3 linked regions of the Saccharomyces cerevisiae S288C genome follow. The gene in region 1 interacts genetically with each later gene. Each region holds a gene or a part of one and is shown on either strand. Other genes may lie near its edges.

Region 1 (3,927 bases):
CTCTTCAGTACAATTGAACAGCATGATCTTTATGAGAACTTTCGCGGCTTCTAAATTTCCTGCTTTTATCGATTCTATAAGCAGCGTAGAACCATCAATCGTTTCGTCCTCTAAAAGGTCTTCTACTGGAAAGTCGTTTTCATATTCAGAAAGAATATCTAATAAGATGTAGTTTTTATGATTTGTTATACATATGGATAGAATGGATTGTCCTTGCTCATTTCTGTAGGTCAAAATATCCTTGTATGTTGCCAGATCTTCTACTTCATTTGTGGGGTTTTCACATGACAACTTATCTAATAAATTCTTAGTTTTTTCACATAATGTGTTAGCTTTCGCCACGTTGCCTGTATTTTTGTTGAAGTCTTCGAAATAACAAACCACTGCTTCCAGTGTGGATACAGCATACCCTAGAATGCCGAATTTTGTAGAAGAAGAGTTATTCGAAAAATTTTGCAAATAGTAAAGATGACTTTTAAGGTGCTTTTGTTCACTTCTGCAAACAACGAGCACAAAAAGGCTAATTAAAGTGTCTGCATCCATCGTCATGTTATTCAATCCGTCTGGTAGTTCTAGTTGATGTGAATCCATTTCGGTAGTACCTGATAATTTCTGTAGAGTTTCAACTAATATTTTAGATTTTTCAGCGTATGAATGGGTCAAAGCCAACTTTTGAAGATGTTTGGACGCTAGATGGAGACGCCTTTCAATAAGAGTGATGTCGTGTAATTTAAATTCCCCATAATCTTTTGAGTAAAAATCTGTCAACAACTGGTTCACTGAAAAATATTTATTTTTTCAGTGTCTACTTCGTGGCCTTTGAAATGTGTAGTAAGCCTAGACCATATATCATCGTAAAGATTTAGTTCAAAATAGTCGTGTATAAGATCGTAAAGATTAGAAAAGTTCTTGAAAAGTGAATCCGATTTCATTCCATCAAATGCTTGTTGCACGATGCTTTCAAAAATACTTCTAGATGGATCATCACCAGGAGCGAGCGTTCTGTAACTCGAAAACAATTGGCCAAGCTGTGTTAATCGAGCAGGATGAATGTGCAATATATTCTCGAATGACGATCTTTCTTGCTGAAAAGAATCTATCGACAGATTTGGCATAGCATGTGCATTTTTTGGTATTTTCTCATAATTGTGAAAACACTGTAAGTAGTCGTTAGGTACAAATTCGCAATTTAAAGGTTGATCTATGAATAGTATGATAAAATCAGCCGCCCCTTCAAAGTAGTCATTAAAATTGGGTAATATTTTTGTCTCTAGAATCTTTAGTCTTCGCCTTATATGAAATCCATTTAAGGCATGGATCACATTATTCTTCCATTGAATAACAACGGTCTTACCATCTAACGTTTCATAATGACTGTCCCTTGAATTCGTATTTATGTAAGAGTTTTCAGTCATTAACAATATGTAAGAGTTAATAAACTCTGCATTATAACAGAGGTCATGTAACGGCAGTTTGCTCTTGACATCGTGGTAATTCAAAAGGTATTCTGAAGGAGGTGCTAGGAGGATAAACCTACGGGTTTTTAAATTAGCGAAAAGCTTTTTCAATGGGGATCTTTCTGGTTCGGGACAGTTAAATATAGCATTAACCAGCGGGTTCAACAGCGTTGGTAAATGGTAAACTGACATTGTCAACCCTAGCTAAGCCATAGCTTTTCCGTTGAGGAATTTACAATAAGGTGGTTCCTTTAGTTATAAATTGCAACTGCCAAAATTTTCGGGTAGCGGCAAAATTAAACGAAAACCTTCTGTCATATTAAACATAGTTTAGTGACGCAATGCACACACACTCATATATATGTATATATTTATCTATATCATAGGTGTAAGGCAAAGTTATCACGTGAATATACTGTTTAGTATACAAGTACGTTGATTTAACGGCTGAGAGATTCTCAAACAAAGTAACGCTTAGTTTAGCTAAAGTAGAATCGAAGCGCAGTGAAGGCAAGACGAGTTATCCCTTTATCACAAAATATAAAAAATAGGTAAAGAGGGGGGTGGGGGTGGTTCGGACTTTGCATCTCGGTGCATTAGTACCACTCAGCTTCAGTTATAGGAATACTGACAATGTTCTTGAGCCAGGGAGAACTGAAATTTCCATACCCTTTAACCCTTTATTCTTGAGCATATGATCTTATTTTTCCACTCAGCACAAAATACACATCCCGCATATGATCTGGACACTGAATAAACAAGGGGCTTTACGATGGAGTAGTAGACCTGGATACGTAGTCACCACAGGGATCCTAAACTGCGTCATAGTAAGTTTCTTTGATACTAGAATGTCCCTCTCTCGTAGTAGTTGATATCCCGTATTTCTAGTTAGTGACGTTTATAAATAGGGAGAAAAAAAATCGGAATAACATTTCCATGCCTTTTTTTTGACACTTCAGACCAGATACGCCACCAGCTACAAACTAACAATGTCCACTGATAGTACACGCTATCCAATTCAGATTGAGAAAGCCTCGAATGATCCAACCCTTCTGCTTAATCACACATGTTTAAGAGTCAAGGATCCAGCAAGGACCGTTAAGTTCTACACCGAACACTTCGGTATGAAGCTATTAAGCAGAAAGGATTTTGAAGAAGCAAAATTTAGCTTGTACTTTTTAAGCTTTCCAAAAGACGACATACCCAAAAATAAGAATGGAGAGCCTGATGTTTTTAGCGCACACGGTGTCTTAGAACTAACTCACAATTGGGGTACTGAAAAAAACCCAGACTACAAGATCAACAACGGGAATGAGGAACCTCATCGTGGATTTGGGCACATCTGTTTTTCTGTATCCGATATCAATAAAACCTGCGAAGAGCTAGAATCTCAGGGTGTCAAATTCAAGAAGAGACTCTCTGAAGGAAGACAGAAGGACATTGCGTTTGCTTTAGGCCCTGATGGATACTGGATTGAGTTGATCACATATTCTAGAGAGGGTCAGGAATACCCAAAGGGCTCAGTAGGTAACAAGTTCAATCATACCATGATTCGTATTAAAAACCCAACCCGGTCTTTAGAATTCTACCAGAATGTGTTGGGCATGAAATTATTAAGAACTAGTGAGCACGAAAGTGCAAAATTTACGTTATACTTTCTTGGTTATGGCGTTCCAAAGACCGACAGCGTTTTTTCATGTGAAAGTGTGTTGGAGTTAACTCATAATTGGGGAACTGAGAATGATCCAAACTTCCACTATCATAACGGTAACTCAGAGCCCCAGGGTTATGGTCACATCTGCATAAGTTGTGATGACGCTGGCGCCCTTTGTAAAGAAATTGAAGTGAAATACGGCGATAAGATCCAATGGTCTCCTAAATTTAACCAAGGCAGAATGAAGAATATTGCCTTTTTGAAGGATCCTGATGGTTATTCCATTGAAGTCGTTCCTCATGGTTTGATTGCCTAAAAAGTTGAAATGAATAGGAGGTTAGTATTTTTTTTTTACAATAATGACCATTCTTGTTGACTTTTCATACACTAATTATTATTTATATTTTGTATTTAAGTACTTACTATAACGTCGACATCAACGCATACATGCCAAATATCTGGTGCAAAAGTTTTTATGCGTTCAAGCTTAGATCTCACAAACTGAAGTTTGATGCCACGGTTTCTAATTAATGCAATTGACTCATTAATAGCGTCGAGTTCTACAATGACATTCTTTTCGAAACTTCCATCCTCAATTGCATCTATGTGTACATTTTCATGTATATGCATTGTCACTTTTTCCAAAGAAGCTCCTTGTAAGTAAATTAATTTGATGGCCAATGGCCACCCTTGTTTGCTTGAAGGCAGGAGACCTAAATTAATATGCCTAATACGTAACCGAAATCCGGGATTCTGAGATAAGAATTCAGTAAGCCTTTGAACGCACATTTCATTTGATTCTTGGAAAACGTGGCA
Region 2 (7,716 bases), on another chromosome or scaffold:
TGATCCATAGCAAAGGAAACTCTAACGCAATAAGAAGAAAATTATGTTTGTACAATAGAGTTAAATACGCTGCTATTTTCGTCAGAATAAGGTTAATGATTATTAACTCTTAAAAAGTCGATTTTTGATGCATCAAGAAGGTAAATTACCCACAAATTTTTAGCCGACTGTGTATTTTCATATCGCTTCGTGCTATTTTATCTTATCGATTATTTGGTAGTCAATGAAGAAAGATTATTTGGTAGCCAATGGAGAAAGATTATTTGGTAGCCAATGGAGAAAAATTATTTGGTAGTCAATGGAGAAACATTATTTTAATCCTTATATTTCCATTAAAGTGCAACACTGGAAGAATTGATACTTCTATGGTACATAATTTGTTAACGATCGTTAATCTGTGCCATCTTCTTCCCATATGTTCTTAAAATATTCGTGATCGCTTTGAACTTATTGGGCAGTATTTTTTTACTGATTATTTAATCATCAAGAACTTTTCTATAAGTTTTGAAAGGAAAAAAAGAGGAGCAATTGTGGAAAAAAGACTAACAAATGGAACAGTATTAGGATCTCACATTAATCGGTTTATGCATCGCTATTTCTAATTGATACTTTCAGGAAAAACGTATTTTATTATAAAATGTTATTGGCCAGACGACAGTGATCGCGCTGAGCACTTTTTCGAGTATCGGGTTTACTGTTTTGATGGTCATTACCATGTTGACAATTACCAGATAAACGAAATAAGCAGTGAATGGTCGCCAATTACAATCAGAGTTTAAACAACCCACCAAAACTTCCATTTTTAACTATGCCGTGCACCCTGTTCCGCACCCTGTTTGTTCCAAACCGCGCTGTCGCACATTTGGCATAATGTAATGACAGACACCTCAGGGCTCAATACGCGAGTTCTAGGAAAGGGTGCAAAAAAATGAATATCTAATATAATATGACACTCGTATACCATTTTTGAAGTGAAGTTTTTGCACTATTTAAACTAATGATTATCTAACTTTTCTATATTCCTAATGCCGTGTTTATTTTCAGAAAGTCCTTTTGTTCGCCTGAATAATAATAGTAATAACAATACAATACCCGAAAATGAAATTGTCTTCCGCTTTTGTATTATCTGCTATCACCGTTGCCGCTTTAGGCGAAAGTATTACTACTACGATAACTGCTACCAAAAATGGGCATGTTTACACCAAGACTGTCACTCAAGATGCTACTTTTGTCTGGGCAGGAGAAGGCGCTGCGGTAACCTCCGCAGTAACTGAAGCGTCTACTGTCGCTGCAACGTCTGCTGCCGCTGAAACATCTGTTGCCGCTGAAACATCTATTGTTGAGCCTTCCACTTCTGCTCAGGGCACCTCTGCTGATGAAGGGTCTGGTTCGAGTATAACCACCACTATTACAGCCACCAAAAATGGACATGTCTACACAAAGACCGTCACCCAGGATGCTACTTTCGTATGGACTGGAGAGGGTGAACGTGCTCCTGCCTCAACTGTTGCTACTGTCGAAACATCTGTTGCCGCTGAAACATCTGTTGCTGAACCTTCTACCTCTGCTCAGGGCACCTCTGCTGATGAAGGGTCTGGTTCGAGTATAACCACCACTATTACAGCCACCAAAAATGGACATGTCTACACAAAGACCGTCACCCAGGACGCTACTTTCGTATGGACTGGTGAGGGTGAACGTGCTCCTGTCTCAACCGTTGCTACTGTCGAAACAGCTGCTTCTCCAGTAACATCTGTTGCTGAACCTTCTGCCTCTACTGATGAAGGATCTGGTTCGAGTATAACTACCACTATTACAGCCACCAAAAATGGACATGTCTACACAAAGACCGTCACCCAGGACGCTACTTTCGTATGGACTGGTGAGGGTGAACGCGCTCCTGCCTCCACCGTTGCAACTTCTAGTATTTCTGCTATTGAAATTCCCTCCACTACTGAGGCCTCTATTGTGGAGGCTTCTTCTGCTGTTGAGACTTCCTCTGCTGCTGAGACTTCCTCTGCTGTTGAGACTTCCTCTGCTGTTGAGACTTCCTCTGCTGTTGAGACTTCTTCTGCTGCTGAGACTTCCTCTGCTGCTGAGACTTCCTCTGCCGTTGAGACTTCCTCTGCTGTTGAGATTTCTTCTGCTGTTGAGACTTCTGCTGTTGAGACTTCTTCTTCTTCCTCTACTATCGAGACCACTTCTGTTAAAAGCTTATCTCCTACTCAGACTTCTCTTTCATCTTCTGTCCAGGCTTCTTCTCCTATTGAGACTTCTTCTGCTGCAAAAACCTCTTCTGTTGTGCCAACTTTTTCTTCTACTACTACTGAAAATTCCTCTAATTCTAAATCCACGTCTGCAGTTGTAGCATCTACTACCACCTCCTCTGAGTCAAGCGCTACTATTGTTACTCCTACTAGAATTGGGCAAGCTTACACAGAGAGTTCTTCTAGGGATGCCCAATCTGTTCGTACCCATGAAAGTAACAATTGGTCATCAAGTTCTTCTGCAAGCACAAAAATGGTATCCTCTATTACAAGAGTTCAAACCACTACCGCTGGTATTTTCACTAACGGTAAGTCGTCCACAACTCCTCAAATCGTGAATTACACGGGTGCGGCTGATTCTATCGCCGCTGGTACGGGTCTGATGGGCGCTGCGCTCGCTGCCGTTATCTTTTTGTAATTTCTGCTAACGACAGATGCGCAGAATCAACCTTTCTGATCTCTCCGTGGTCTTACTTTTCAAAATGGCATTGTGAATTAAGTATTTCATCATAGTTGATAAAGCTTATGTCCGCAATGTTATTTGTCTGCGTGACACTGGCTGTCTATAAGAATGTACCAGTATGTAATATTATATCAAGAAAATATCAGGTGTTGATTAAAATAATCTAAAAACAATGTCTATTTCACTTGTTAAATATGACTTTTCAAAAATAACCATTTTATTTATTTCTTGCTTTTTAAAAGGTGAGAGTGGGTATTTGTTTTATCTGACGCCAAGGAAAATAAAAGTTAAAAAATGACATGATGATTTTATAGTTCAAAACAAGAAATGAACTTTCGTGTTTGTGATCAGATTCAAATGGAGTATAATACTGAAAGAAGGTCGAGAAAGACAAGCAAGCAAATTCACAACTTCATTGAGCGCATTTTATTGAAATTACCTGTAGCAATGAGTAGTTCAGTTTGTCATATAATTATGTTTTTGTGAGAAATTTTAGCTTTTGGTACTGTGCCAGTTATCCGAATTTAAAAAAAAAAGTTATATATGGCTGTAATAATTTAGGTCAGAGAGAAGAAAACACGAAGTTTACTACGTGTATTAAAAATAGAACATTAAACATGCACCAAATGCTTTAATGAACACTTTCGGAAGAATAAGCCCATAAAAAAATCACGACGTACCGTTGCGACAGATAGGATCGTTCTTTCTAGGAGATTTTTTAGCTGCTACGGAATAAAAGAAATAATGCTGACTAATACGCAGGATATCCATGGGAGGCGGCTTTTTGTTCTGACGGATCCATAAATCCCGTAAAGAAATCTGGGCGAATGTATACAGAGAATTAACGTTACTCATTCCTAGCCTGAAAATCAAAAAGCTTGGCATAAGGGGCATGTACATAGTCTTCATGAAAGAAATGGAAAATTTTTTCAAGGGATGGCTTCACGGTTCCATTATTGCTTCCGGTTTCCGTTACCCTTTAAATCAGATATATAAACAGCCATAAGGAGAACCATTCATTTCTTTATCATCCGCTAAATTTTATTAACGGCATTTTTAAGTACTTCCCACTGGCTAATTACACAGATAAAACTCAAACAAATTTATAATGGCCCCAAAAAAAGTTTTACTCGCTCTTACCTCATATAACGATGTATTCTACAGTGACGGCGCCAAGACCGGTGTTTTTGTTGTAGAAGCCTTACATCCCTTCAACACATTCCGAAAAGAAGGTTTTGAAGTCGATTTTGTATCTGAAACCGGAAAATTTGGTTGGGATGAGCATTCCTTAGCCAAAGATTTTCTAAATGGTCAAGACGAAACGGATTTTAAAAATAAAGACTCAGATTTCAACAAGACATTGGCTAAAATTAAGACACCAAAAGAGGTGAATGCCGATGATTACCAAATTTTTTTTGCATCTGCAGGCCACGGTACCTTATTTGACTATCCTAAGGCTAAAGACTTGCAGGACATTGCTTCCGAAATTTATGCTAACGGTGGTGTTGTCGCAGCTGTTTGTCACGGTCCTGCTATTTTTGATGGGTTAACAGACAAAAAAACAGGAAGACCATTGATCGAAGGTAAATCTATCACCGGTTTTACTGATGTTGGTGAAACCATTTTGGGTGTTGATAGTATTTTGAAAGCCAAGAATTTGGCAACCGTTGAAGATGTTGCTAAAAAATATGGCGCTAAGTATTTAGCTCCGGTTGGGCCCTGGGATGATTACTCTATTACTGACGGAAGACTGGTAACAGGTGTGAATCCTGCTTCTGCGCACTCCACTGCCGTAAGATCCATCGACGCTTTAAAAAACTGAGCCAAAGGTTGATAATTAGAATTTCCTTTGTACTACTATATAGATGTAAGGAACTTTAGGAGGCGTTATTGAGTACGAGGGATGTACCTCATTGTTAATACGTTGAAATATTTGGATATTGGGGAAACACATGTCTGAGATGGGTCTTCCAATAACCAAAGTTTATAATCTTTATCTTTTATCTGCTTTAGCTAGAGGTTAATAGTGAAGACTACATTTGGTCTCCAACAAGGTGCTACAATTTATTTTTCAGCCACTCCGTTGCACAGCATTTATCTAGCCAACGTTAATATCAATGAGAATGGAGAAGAAAGCATTAGCGTCGTTACGCTGCAAATCATCTATGCAATATGTAAAACTATACATAAAACTTTCTAAATTTTTTTTTTTTCATTTTGGTATTTCTGTCAGCTGCCGATGCTTCCTAAAGGGTTTATTCATGTGGGACATTGTAGGTGTGTTTCAGTTATCTAATGGTTATTTGCATCTTAGTGAGCTGTTCCTTGCGGTTTCTTGCTAAATGATCACGAAAAATGTTTTTTTCTCAGGTTAATTATGGCAGAATGTCGACACGAATTGGTCATATTGAAAATATTTAGTAATGCCCATCAATTAAATTGAACGTTATATCATCCGGATAAACAATATCTTCCAGATTAAAAAGGAAAAATAATTTAGGGCATACGTATTAGGTTATTCAACCAGAAATTAGCATTTGGCTGTCTTTAATGCCATCGCTTGGGAACTAGGCAGTTAAATATAAGCACATGTAAAAAAAGTGAAGATCGCGTAACTCATTATTTATAAACACAAGGAGAATGAGCAGCATCAAAAAAACTTCAACCAATAGAAAAAAACATATAGACTAGCTTTAAAACAAAATTAGTGAAGAAATGGATACAGGGAGTGCGAGCATAAAGGACTATGAGACCGTGTTAACGGATATTGAGGATTCTATTGCTGTGAGCAGCGAAGAAGTGCTAAATAACCAAGAACTAAGGCTCAAAAATACATTGCACGAAATTACTTCCAGCATTCTGGCAATAAATGAAGAGAACAAGTTTGTGAATCCTCTTAGGAACGATGAGAGCTTAGACGTAGAGGGAAAGGAGGTCTTTGTAAATCCAAAAATTCTGAGTGCAAAAATCAAGGAGTTCAATAAACTAATGGAGTTACTTAAGTTGACTTACTTGGAACAGGAGACATTGGACTATTTCTTCAGGTTTACTTTGTCCTCGACGAAACCTTTGCAGTTAGATTCCGAAAAAGACCCCCAATTTGTAAAACTTAATGAAAGAGTTAATGATTTAAAGGAAGAAATTTCGAATGTTCAAGAAAGCAAAATAGAACAAATCAAAGCTGAAATCCAAGAGACCGGTCACAACTTTGCAGAAAGGCAAGATTTAATAAATGAGTTGTATCTGGAAGCCACTGGTGATATTGAAAATTGTTGGGATTCGCTCAATGAACTAAAAAATTTAACAAACAAAGAAGATAAGAATATGATGGGAGAAAAAGATACGATATTAAATTCAAGTGATTCAGATGATTTTGTGGAAGAGACATACACGAATTGGCAAAAACTACTATTTTTGCAGAAGCAAAATCAAAGGTTAACGAAAGAGCTCAAGGAAATGCATGAAGTTAAAAATCAAATAATACGAAAAGGAGAGCAATCAAAAAAAGAGGATTCTGGACATTTAATGGCCAATGAATCAGAATTATGTCAGTCAATTAATTTGCTAACAAAATTTTGGGAAAAGCACTTTTTACTCAAAGGGTCAAAGACGACTATATTAAATTTTGAAATCTTTACCCAGCTTGGAAAAGTACAATTTGAAATAAAGGATATGCAATATATAATTGCCATATCTTTAAGCGATTTAAAAAGGCCAATGATAAAAGACATTACTATTTTACAAAAAGCGGGTGGCAATATAGTCACAGACATTGAAGCGAGCAGTAAATTTAACAATAAGTACAGAAATAATACTAAGGTGCAAATCTTTGAGGTAATGGATGACATTATAAGCGAGCTAACAAACGAATAAATTAATTATCTAGATAAAGATGTATGTAATATTACTAGCCAAAAAAAAAGTGAAATCTATCTACGTACTTGTTTTCTTAGTAGATGAATGACGAGACGCGCTTAGGAAAGCACCCATTGCACCCAAATAGCCTTCATGTTTGAGAAAAAACGCTTGCTTTGATCCTTGTGACCAAAAATTAATAGCGTAGCTCAAAGTGTTCATGGTAGTCAAATGTCCTCTGGTATAAGATCCGCCAAAGTATATATTCTGTATATTATTGATTTTAGCTTGCAAATAAGCTATTTGCCCAATATTGTTGGAGATGGCGAATAGAAGACTTTTACAAATATCAGGATTCTTAAACATTTGTCCATTGTTTTTCTCAATAGACTCATGTGAGGAATATAATTTATTTTCGTTGTTTTCCAAAGATTTGTTAGATGTCATTCTATTTTGGAAAACTTTACCAAATGAACTTGCAATAGCTGACGACTTTAGACCAATTTTATTATAGTCTGTTCCATAAATATCTCCAACTAGCATATCAACGCTAGAATTGTCACCCTCTTGTGCCCAATCGAGCATCTGATCATAAGTTTGAGCGCCAGTAATTAGTGATAATAGGCCCCAAAGAGTTCCTCCTCCCAGTGAAGAACCGCCTACTCTACTAAAATTGTTTGGTTCGGTGACTTTTAATATTGAGACACCCGACCCTATATTGACTAGAAGGTATGGGTAGATAGCCTTTGAGTCCATGGTGCCGGAACTGGTGGGTATTATCCTTTCGCCATCTTGATCGTTGTAAGTGAAAACTTCATCGGGAATCTCATGAATGAAAAAGTCTAAACCGTGAATTAAGCCTTCCATTTCTTCGAACCTCGATATACCTTTTATTTGAGGAAAATTTTCATACAACAAATCATAAAACTTGAAGGCGCCACCACCAGTGGCAATTATATGAGTCATTCTATAGCATCCATTGTTATGTTCTTTGATAATAGAATGCAGAAGTTCCATGAACTTGTCAATTTTCTCTGTTTCAATGGTGTAGAACATCAGCCTGTTACTGTGTATAGGCGAGAAGACTACTTTAGCCAGAGTGCCTCCTATATCAATAGCAAGGTTGAAAGT
Region 3 (7,800 bases), on another chromosome or scaffold:
TCACATTGAACTTTTGTCTACCAATATGTGAGCCCATACCAGGCCTTAAAAACGGATGCAGACTTTTTGATTTGGTCATCTGCTGTCAGCGTTGTCGGAGAAATTGTTGATGTCATTTATAAAGTGAATGATTTATTGATACCCGAAGTCTACTCTTTTATGACAGATAACACAACTTCCAGCGACTTAATAAAGAATGTCGAAACGGCTCGCTCCACTATCGATGGTTTAATTGAATCTCTAGGGTGGATTGAACTAAATTACCGTTGTGAGAGGCAATGCAATTGGGATGAAGTTTGTTACACTCCTTCCTGGGGCCCATCTCCAATGGGTATGACTGAACCAGGTTCCCACAATGAGGGATTTGGAACCCACTTTGATGAATCTCGACAAAGGTTGGTTATTAACAGTAAACTACAGTGTATCAATATAAATGATTTGATGGTTAATCGTAATCATTAGCGCCTCATGTGAGCAGGCCATTGTGGGACAGTATGAAGGGTATGATTTCTAGATAATCCAATAATAATTATGAAGTTTTTGAGATTTGGGGTGATACACATCTATGAATTACTAAGAGATTTGAGACACAGCGACAGTCATGCCAGCAAGATTTAAGATTTTCTTTATTTAGTGTTTATATACATATCAGATATCTGTTGAGTATTTTCTATTTTACCAAAAAAAAAAGATATGAAATCAAGATAAAACGTCGTATGAAAGACAAGGGAGCTCAGCAGCAATATCATAAAGTAAAGCAACAGCGCTTGGTTCATGTACAATGAACGATCTGAAAATTATTTGGCAGCGGTGCTACGAATACATGTCGATATTACGTTACGATTGTCTAACAGGGGAGGAGAATCGTGCACTTTGATGGGTATATCGAAAAGATGGTGACTCTGCTAGAGTCACTGTCAGTGAGGAGTTGCGATGTATGAAAGATTCACTGACATAAAGTGGCGCGATTCATGTAGCAGTGTAAATCACTTTTGACGCAATGATGGAAGAGATACGGAAGAGATACGGAAAAAATAAAACAAAAAACAACTGAAATAAGTACTAAAGGATTATATTTATTGCCGCCATTATTATTTAGCGTCTGGTGGCTCAAGAATCTGCAGTTATTTAATTATTTAATCGAGCGTGTAATGCTCTGATGATTTTCAATCCGGTCATATCAAATCACAAGTTGAGCCATTATATTCATGTTTTTTGTACATTCACCACGTTCTGCATATTAGGTACTGAAACACGTCAGGCTATAACGGCGCTTTCCACCTACACTCCGGCCTTCGTTACTGCTCCGACCGTTCTCTGGTCTAATTGTTCATCCTGCATGCTAATGGGGATTATGCAATCTTTAAATGCTTACACTTGGATGAAAGATCACCAAGTCTTGTTTTTAGGTGTAACTACTGGGTACTGTGGTGCCCTGTCTTCCTTTTCTAGTATGCTGCTAGAGATGTTCGAACACTCTACAAACTTAACTAACGGTAATATCGCTAACCACACAAAACTGCCGAACAGAGCTTACGGTATAATGGAGTTTTTATCTGTCTTGCTCGTTCATCTTATGGTTTCCATGGGTAGTCTTATTTTCGGTAGGCAACTTGGTAAGGAGGTTATTGTTGCTTATGGATCTAGTTCGTTTTCGAAGCCATATACCCCTCCCTCAGACACTGTAAAGGAAAATGCTGGTGATGTTGATACACAAGAAATGGAAAAAAATATTCTAGAGTTTAAATTCAAAACTCCAGCACCATTTTTTAAGAAATTTTTTGATGTTGTGGATAAACTCGCGTACGCACTAGCTTTTCCATTAATTATTTTGTTTGTGGTGCTGTGTGCGTATTATGAGAACTATTCGAGGGGCAAGTGGACACTACCATGTCTATTTGGAATTTTCGCTGGTTTCCTAAGATATTGGTTGGCAGAAATGTTTAATAAAACAAACAAAAAGTTTCCATTGGGTACTTTCTTGGCAAACGTTTTCGCCACTTTATTGATTGGCATATTTACCATGGTGCAACGTGGTAAAAAACACTTTTCCACGGATATTCCAATTGTGAACTCGTTGAATTCATGCCATATTGTTTCTGCGTTAATATCCGGATTTTGCGGCACTTTGAGTACCATTAGCACGTTTATCAATGAAGGGTATAAGCTATCATTTATTAACATGCTTATTTATTATACTGTTTCGATTGGAATTTCATATTGCTTATTGGTGATAACTCTCGGATCCTATGCTTGGACTAGAGGATTGACTAACCCGATTTGTTAGGATCTTTTCTTCATACCTTTTCCTGCACAATCATCCCACCTTTTTTTTTTTTTAATTCATTTTCAAGATTTTAGACGTTGTATAATACATTTTTACCGACTACTGCGGTTTATTGTAATATTTTGTGAGATTTTATGAATGCGTTCCATCATCTATTTACTACAAAACGATAAATTTCCCCGTTTTCTTTTACTTTTACTTCATTTAATATAATTCATATTTATTTCCTATGTACCAATTAATTACTTCTAAAAAGAACAGAAATAGAAAAAAGTTGTATATAACAAGCCAAAAAAAAGAAAAAAAAAGGAAAAAAAAGAAAACACAGCTTATTTCAAATTGCAATCTGCGTATTTCGTAAGTAACGAATGATCTCACAGCATTGCTTTTTTTTTTTTTATATATATATGTACATTACCTATGTCACATATGACCATGATGAGTACAACACTAAAAACCAAGGCCTACTATTCAATTGTTCTCTATATGATTTCCATTCTAGCAAAATCGAGTGCTACCGACCTGCCGTTTTCTTTACCTTTCGAACCATTGAGCTGTTAGCCTTCTCTTCACAGAAACTGAAAGCCATTAGAAGCCTCCCCTTCAACAATTCCCTTGTCTTTTGTTTCAGCTATATAATGCGTTTATAGCTCTAATTGTGGTCGAATAGGAAGAATTTGCGTTAACACCCGTAACTAGCTTTCCATCTGTAATAGAGTAGTCATCCCAGGGATGGATTGGCGCCAAGTACTTGGCTCCATTCTTGTTTGCAACGCGTTCAACCGTTGTCAATTTTCTGCTCCTCAAGATGTCGTCAACTCCCAGGGCGATTTCACCCTCGAGTGGGAAACCTGTTATAGCTTTGCCTTCGATTAATGGTCTTGTTGTTTTGATATCTATTAATCCATCGAAAAGGAGCGGTCCATGACAGATGGCAGCGATCACACCCCCATTGGCATATATCTTGGATGCAATATCTTGCAGATTTTTAGCTTTGGGATAGTCAAATAGAGCACCATGTCCAGCAGATGCAAAGAATATTTTATAGTCGCTGGCGTTGACTTCATTTGCGGTCTTGATCCTCGCTAACGCCTTATTGAAGGCGGAATTTTTCGTTTCAAAGTTCATCTTATCTTCGCCACCAATAAAGCTCTTTGGCAAGTAATGTTCATCCCAGCCAAATCCACCAGTCTCAGAAACGAAGTCCACTTCGAAACCATGCTTTTCGAAAGTATCGAACGACCGCAAAATCTCAACTACAAAAACGCCTGTTTTCGCACCATCTTTATAGAAGGGACCGTGGTATGAAGTAAGAGATATTAGCGCTCTTTTTGGAGTCATTGCAAGGCCAGTTTTCTTTTTGAATGAAGGAGAAAAGTGTTCTAGAAATATGTTTTAGTTCTAAGTATCGTTGTCTGGAGCAAGCAAAGAAAAGCAGACCTGTATGTGCAACTTTCCTCTTTTCCATTAAAATCTCAAGAACCGGCCCCTTGACTGTGCTCATATATCAAGTATCGGTTTTAAAGTCCCCTAATTGTGATAATTGCAAGAACAACAGTCAAAAAGATATTTTTCTTTTCTTTCTTTTTACCTATCCTTCATGAAAATACCTATGCTGATACTGAATATCTTCATTTGCAGCTATGCAATATTTCAGATACCCCATTTTACCCAAGAGTTTCTTACTGGTGGTTGGATTTTCTTTAAGACGAGAAGATTACCAGTCCTGGATGTTCGTGAATGTGCCTATTGCGTCATCAGCGACTCCGCGCCAAGAAAAGAAATACTCGCATGCTCGGATTTATAGAATCGCATAATGGAAATACCTTCCTTAAAGGATGGAGATAAGGAAAAAATGACAAGAACAAGGAAGTACTTGGGAGCTTTCTCCGACATGGTAAATATTTGAAACTCACGCAGCTCTCCTGGAAAGTTGGATCTGGAAAGGTAAGGTTGTTTTTTTTACAGACATCAACCAAAATCGGTTCTTGTAGTAGACAATGTCACAGATCGCCACAAGTTGAAAAAAAAGTTTCGATGAACTGGATAAGGGGAGAGGTCACAAACAAAGTGTAGGGGGTGAGTAGTATAGTGGTAACTTGTTCATTTACCTAAATAACATTCTCACTAGAAAAGAGATATTGAAAGACTCCTCGTTTACCTAACTTGGCTGGTTCTTAGGTATATAATAGAAACATGGATCTGGCAGGTTATCACTTACAGTTTGCACTCCCACCAGGTTACAATTTTCATTATATATAGTTATTTTTTACCACCACTTCTTCTTCTTTCACTTTGTCTTGCAATAGAAATACCAAAACAAGGTGAGGAAAAAATCGAATCTCAACGATAAAAATATGTCCATCACGAAGGTACATGCTAGAACGGTGTATGATTCTCGCGGCAATCCGACTGTTGAGGTTGAAATTACAACAGAGAATGGTCTCTTCAGAGCGATCGTCCCATCTGGTGCCTCCACCGGCATTCACGAAGCTGTTGAACTTAGAGACGGGAACAAGTCCGAATGGATGGGAAAAGGGGTGACCAAGGCAGTCAGTAACGTCAATAGTATCATAGGGCCTGCTTTAATCAAGTCCGAATTATGTGTAACCAATCAGAAGGGCATAGACGAGCTCATGATATCGTTAGACGGAACTTCTAACAAGTCAAGGTTGGGCGCCAATGCTATCCTTGGTGTTTCCTTGTGCGTTGCTCGAGCTGCTGCCGCACAAAAGGGAATTACTCTCTACAAGTATATAGCCGAGTTAGCGGATGCTAGACAGGACCCCTTTGTTATTCCTGTTCCTTTTTTCAATGTTTTGAATGGTGGAGCCCACGCCGGTGGCTCTTTAGCTATGCAAGAATTCAAGATCGCGCCAGTCGGGGCTCAGAGCTTTGCAGAAGCCATGAGGATGGGTTCGGAAGTTTACCATCATTTGAAGATATTGGCGAAGGAGCAATATGGACCTTCCGCTGGAAATGTTGGTGACGAGGGTGGAGTTGCCCCCGATATTGACACTGCCGAAGACGCCTTGGACATGATTGTGGAAGCCATTAACATATGCGGTTACGAGGGTAGAGTGAAAGTAGGAATCGATAGTGCTCCTTCTGTTTTTTATAAGGACGGGAAATACGACCTAAATTTCAAGGAACCGAACTCTGACCCATCTCACTGGCTCAGTCCAGCCCAGTTAGCAGAATATTACCATTCATTGCTAAAGAAATACCCAATCATTTCCCTGGAAGATCCCTACGCCGAAGATGATTGGTCCTCGTGGTCTGCCTTCCTAAAGACTGTCAATGTTCAGATTATTGCAGATGACCTGACATGCACCAACAAGACCAGGATCGCCCGTGCTATAGAGGAGAAATGTGCGAATACTCTGTTGCTGAAACTCAACCAGATCGGTACTCTGACTGAGTCTATTGAAGCCGCCAATCAGGCTTTCGATGCTGGATGGGGTGTAATGATATCGCATAGATCAGGTGAAACCGAAGATCCGTTTATCGCTGATTTGGTCGTTGGTTTAAGATGTGGTCAAATTAAATCGGGCGCTTTGTCGAGATCAGAAAGACTGGCCAAGTATAATGAACTTTTGCGTATCGAAGAGGAACTGGGGGACGATTGTATATATGCTGGTCATAGGTTTCATGATGGAAACAAACTATAAAGGATTGTCTTGTTTCCTTTTTTTTTTTTTTTTTTTTTGTTTTTTTATGACTAAATAAAGTAAATCATATGAGGTTTTATTTTTTATTTCGTTGATTTGGGTTACAGTATGGAAATGGGGCATTTGACACAAGTTATTTTATTCATATGTTTTATCTTGTAGGAAATCAAACCGTTTTTAAAGTTTTCCATTGCCTACACACAAAATCATTACGAATCTGTCTGAACAAGGGTGGACGTGTGGGGGAAGGCTGTTCCAATCAAGAAATGCTTACAACTCTACTAACACTGCAGTTTTTCAGCTTTCTGATTAATCTCTTCGGTTTAAATTTTTTAGCAGCTATTACTTTCTAGTAACCCTTATAACGCGGTTGGTATCAAATCTTCCTGATAGTACAAGCAGACCTTTGACCCCATTCTTGTTGTGTCTTGAAATCTTTTTTTCTGACAAAAGTAAGAAGTTACACCATAATAGAGAAGTTAAATAATGAAAGTGTATCGATCATAGAAATGATTTTATTTTTTTCAACTACTGTTACGGTCAAGAAACTAATACTGAGGATAAGTTTTCGCAACAATGATTTTGGTACAAGTGATTTAAAGTCTTGAATTACTTCAACACAATTTGCTTTGCGACGGTTTAGAATAACGTAATCGTATCAACGAATCCACTAGGCGCGCGTAAAAATTACAGACTCTAACAATATACGACTCCCAGCACATACCTACTATTCTGTACAATTCCGGGAAATAGGAGGGTACAGTATTATTTTTTCTCGGCGATCGTTTAGGGTATACTGGAGATAGGCTTAGCAATACGCTTCTGAACGAGGATCTATAGCAACTAAATTCAGACATTCTGCTATACCAAAAAAGGAAGTATCACAGGCACGGAAAAGGGTTTTATAAGGCACCTCGGCACCCCTATAACTGGCATTCTCACATTCGGCGCATACGAATAGACAAAGGCCCCAGAAAACAATACCTTCGCATACAGAATCTATAAAGATGCATGCCTCGTTTAAAAACAAAAACATCTTCATAGTGATCATGAAGTTGTGGGAAAGATGAGATATGGAGAATATGTGAAGTGCTAAAGGAGCATCTGTTAACGAATCGTTTAAGTGGTGATGACCAATGAAGGAATAGGTATAAATAGAGATACTTCAACTATATGCCTTCGAGAATATGTCTTTATTCATTTCTTTCCTGTTAAGCTTATATCAGCACTAACAAACAAAACAAATACAATGGTCAAATTAACTTCAATCGCTGCTGGTGTTGCCGCTATCGCTGCCGGTGTTGCCGCTGCTCCAGCCACTACCACTCTATCTCCATCTGACGAAAGAGTCAACTTGGTCGAATTGGGTGTTTACGTCTCCGATATCAGAGCTCATTTGGCTCAATACTACTTGTTTCAAGCAGCTCATCCAACAGAGACCTACCCAGTTGAGATTGCTGAAGCTGTTTTCAACTATGGTGACTTCACCACCATGTTGACTGGTATTCCAGCTGAACAAGTCACCAGAGTCATCACTGGTGTCCCATGGTACTCTACCAGATTGAGACCGGCTATCTCCAGTGCTCTATCTAAGGACGGTATCTACACTGCTATTCCAAAATAGAGAGAAGCTTTTACGAACGAAATTCCATAGACATTAAAAAGTAAAGAAAATGAAATAAAATATGTTATTCTATTGATATAAATACAATTTCTCATATGTAAATGTATATTAATATGACAACTCATTTTTGATCAATAACAGTGTTTGTGGAGTATTTTCTCAATACAATAAACCCAAAATAGAAACTTCTCTTTTGCGTCACTGTTCTGGAAAAGGGT

The links.
Region 2: of GLO1 (region 1) and HSP31, extra expression of one rescues a mutant of the other (dosage rescue), as found in Saccharomyces cerevisiae (one study listed by BioGRID).
Region 3: of GLO1 (region 1) and HSP32, extra expression of one rescues a mutant of the other (dosage rescue), as found in Saccharomyces cerevisiae (one study listed by BioGRID).

The regions. Positions count from the first base shown.
Region 1 is NC_001145.3:261,205-265,131, reverse strand, and holds GLO1 (lactoylglutathione lyase GLO1), read left to right. Parts: upstream 1-2,446; coding exon 2,447-3,427; downstream 3,428-3,927. Other genes in the region: VRL1 (Vrl1p), read right to left, coding at 1-591; YML003W (uncharacterized protein), read right to left, coding at 777-1,649; TRM12 (tRNA(Phe) (4-demethylwyosine(37)-C(7)) aminocarboxypropyltransferase), read right to left, coding at 3,523-3,927. UniProt on the Saccharomyces cerevisiae protein: Catalyzes the conversion of hemimercaptal, formed from methylglyoxal and glutathione, to S-lactoylglutathione. Can use gamma-glutamylcysteine as a substrate.
Region 2 is NC_001136.10:1,498,283-1,505,998, reverse strand, and holds HSP31 (glutathione-independent methylglyoxalase), read left to right. Parts: upstream 1-3,838; coding exon 3,839-4,552; downstream 4,553-7,716. Other genes in the region: FIT1 (Fit1p), read left to right, coding at 1,099-2,685; KRE28 (Kre28p), read left to right, coding at 5,446-6,603; CAB1 (pantothenate kinase), read right to left, coding at 6,664-7,716. UniProt on the Saccharomyces cerevisiae protein: Catalyzes the conversion of methylglyoxal (MG) to D-lactate in a single glutathione (GSH)-independent step. May play a role in detoxifying endogenously produced glyoxals. Involved in protection against reactive oxygen species (ROS).
Region 3 is NC_001148.4:7,715-15,514, reverse strand, and holds HSP32 (glutathione-independent methylglyoxalase family protein), read right to left. Parts: upstream 3,629-7,800; coding exon 2,915-3,628; downstream 1-2,914. Other genes in the region: YPL277C (uncharacterized protein), read left to right, coding at 1-110; YPL278C (uncharacterized protein), read left to right, coding at 160-462; FEX2 (fluoride transporter), read left to right, coding at 1,160-2,287; phosphopyruvate hydratase ERR2, read left to right, coding at 4,645-5,958; seripauperin PAU22, read left to right, coding at 7,088-7,582. UniProt on the Saccharomyces cerevisiae protein: Catalyzes the conversion of methylglyoxal (MG) to D-lactate in a single glutathione (GSH)-independent step. May play a role in detoxifying endogenously produced glyoxals. Involved in protection against reactive oxygen species (ROS).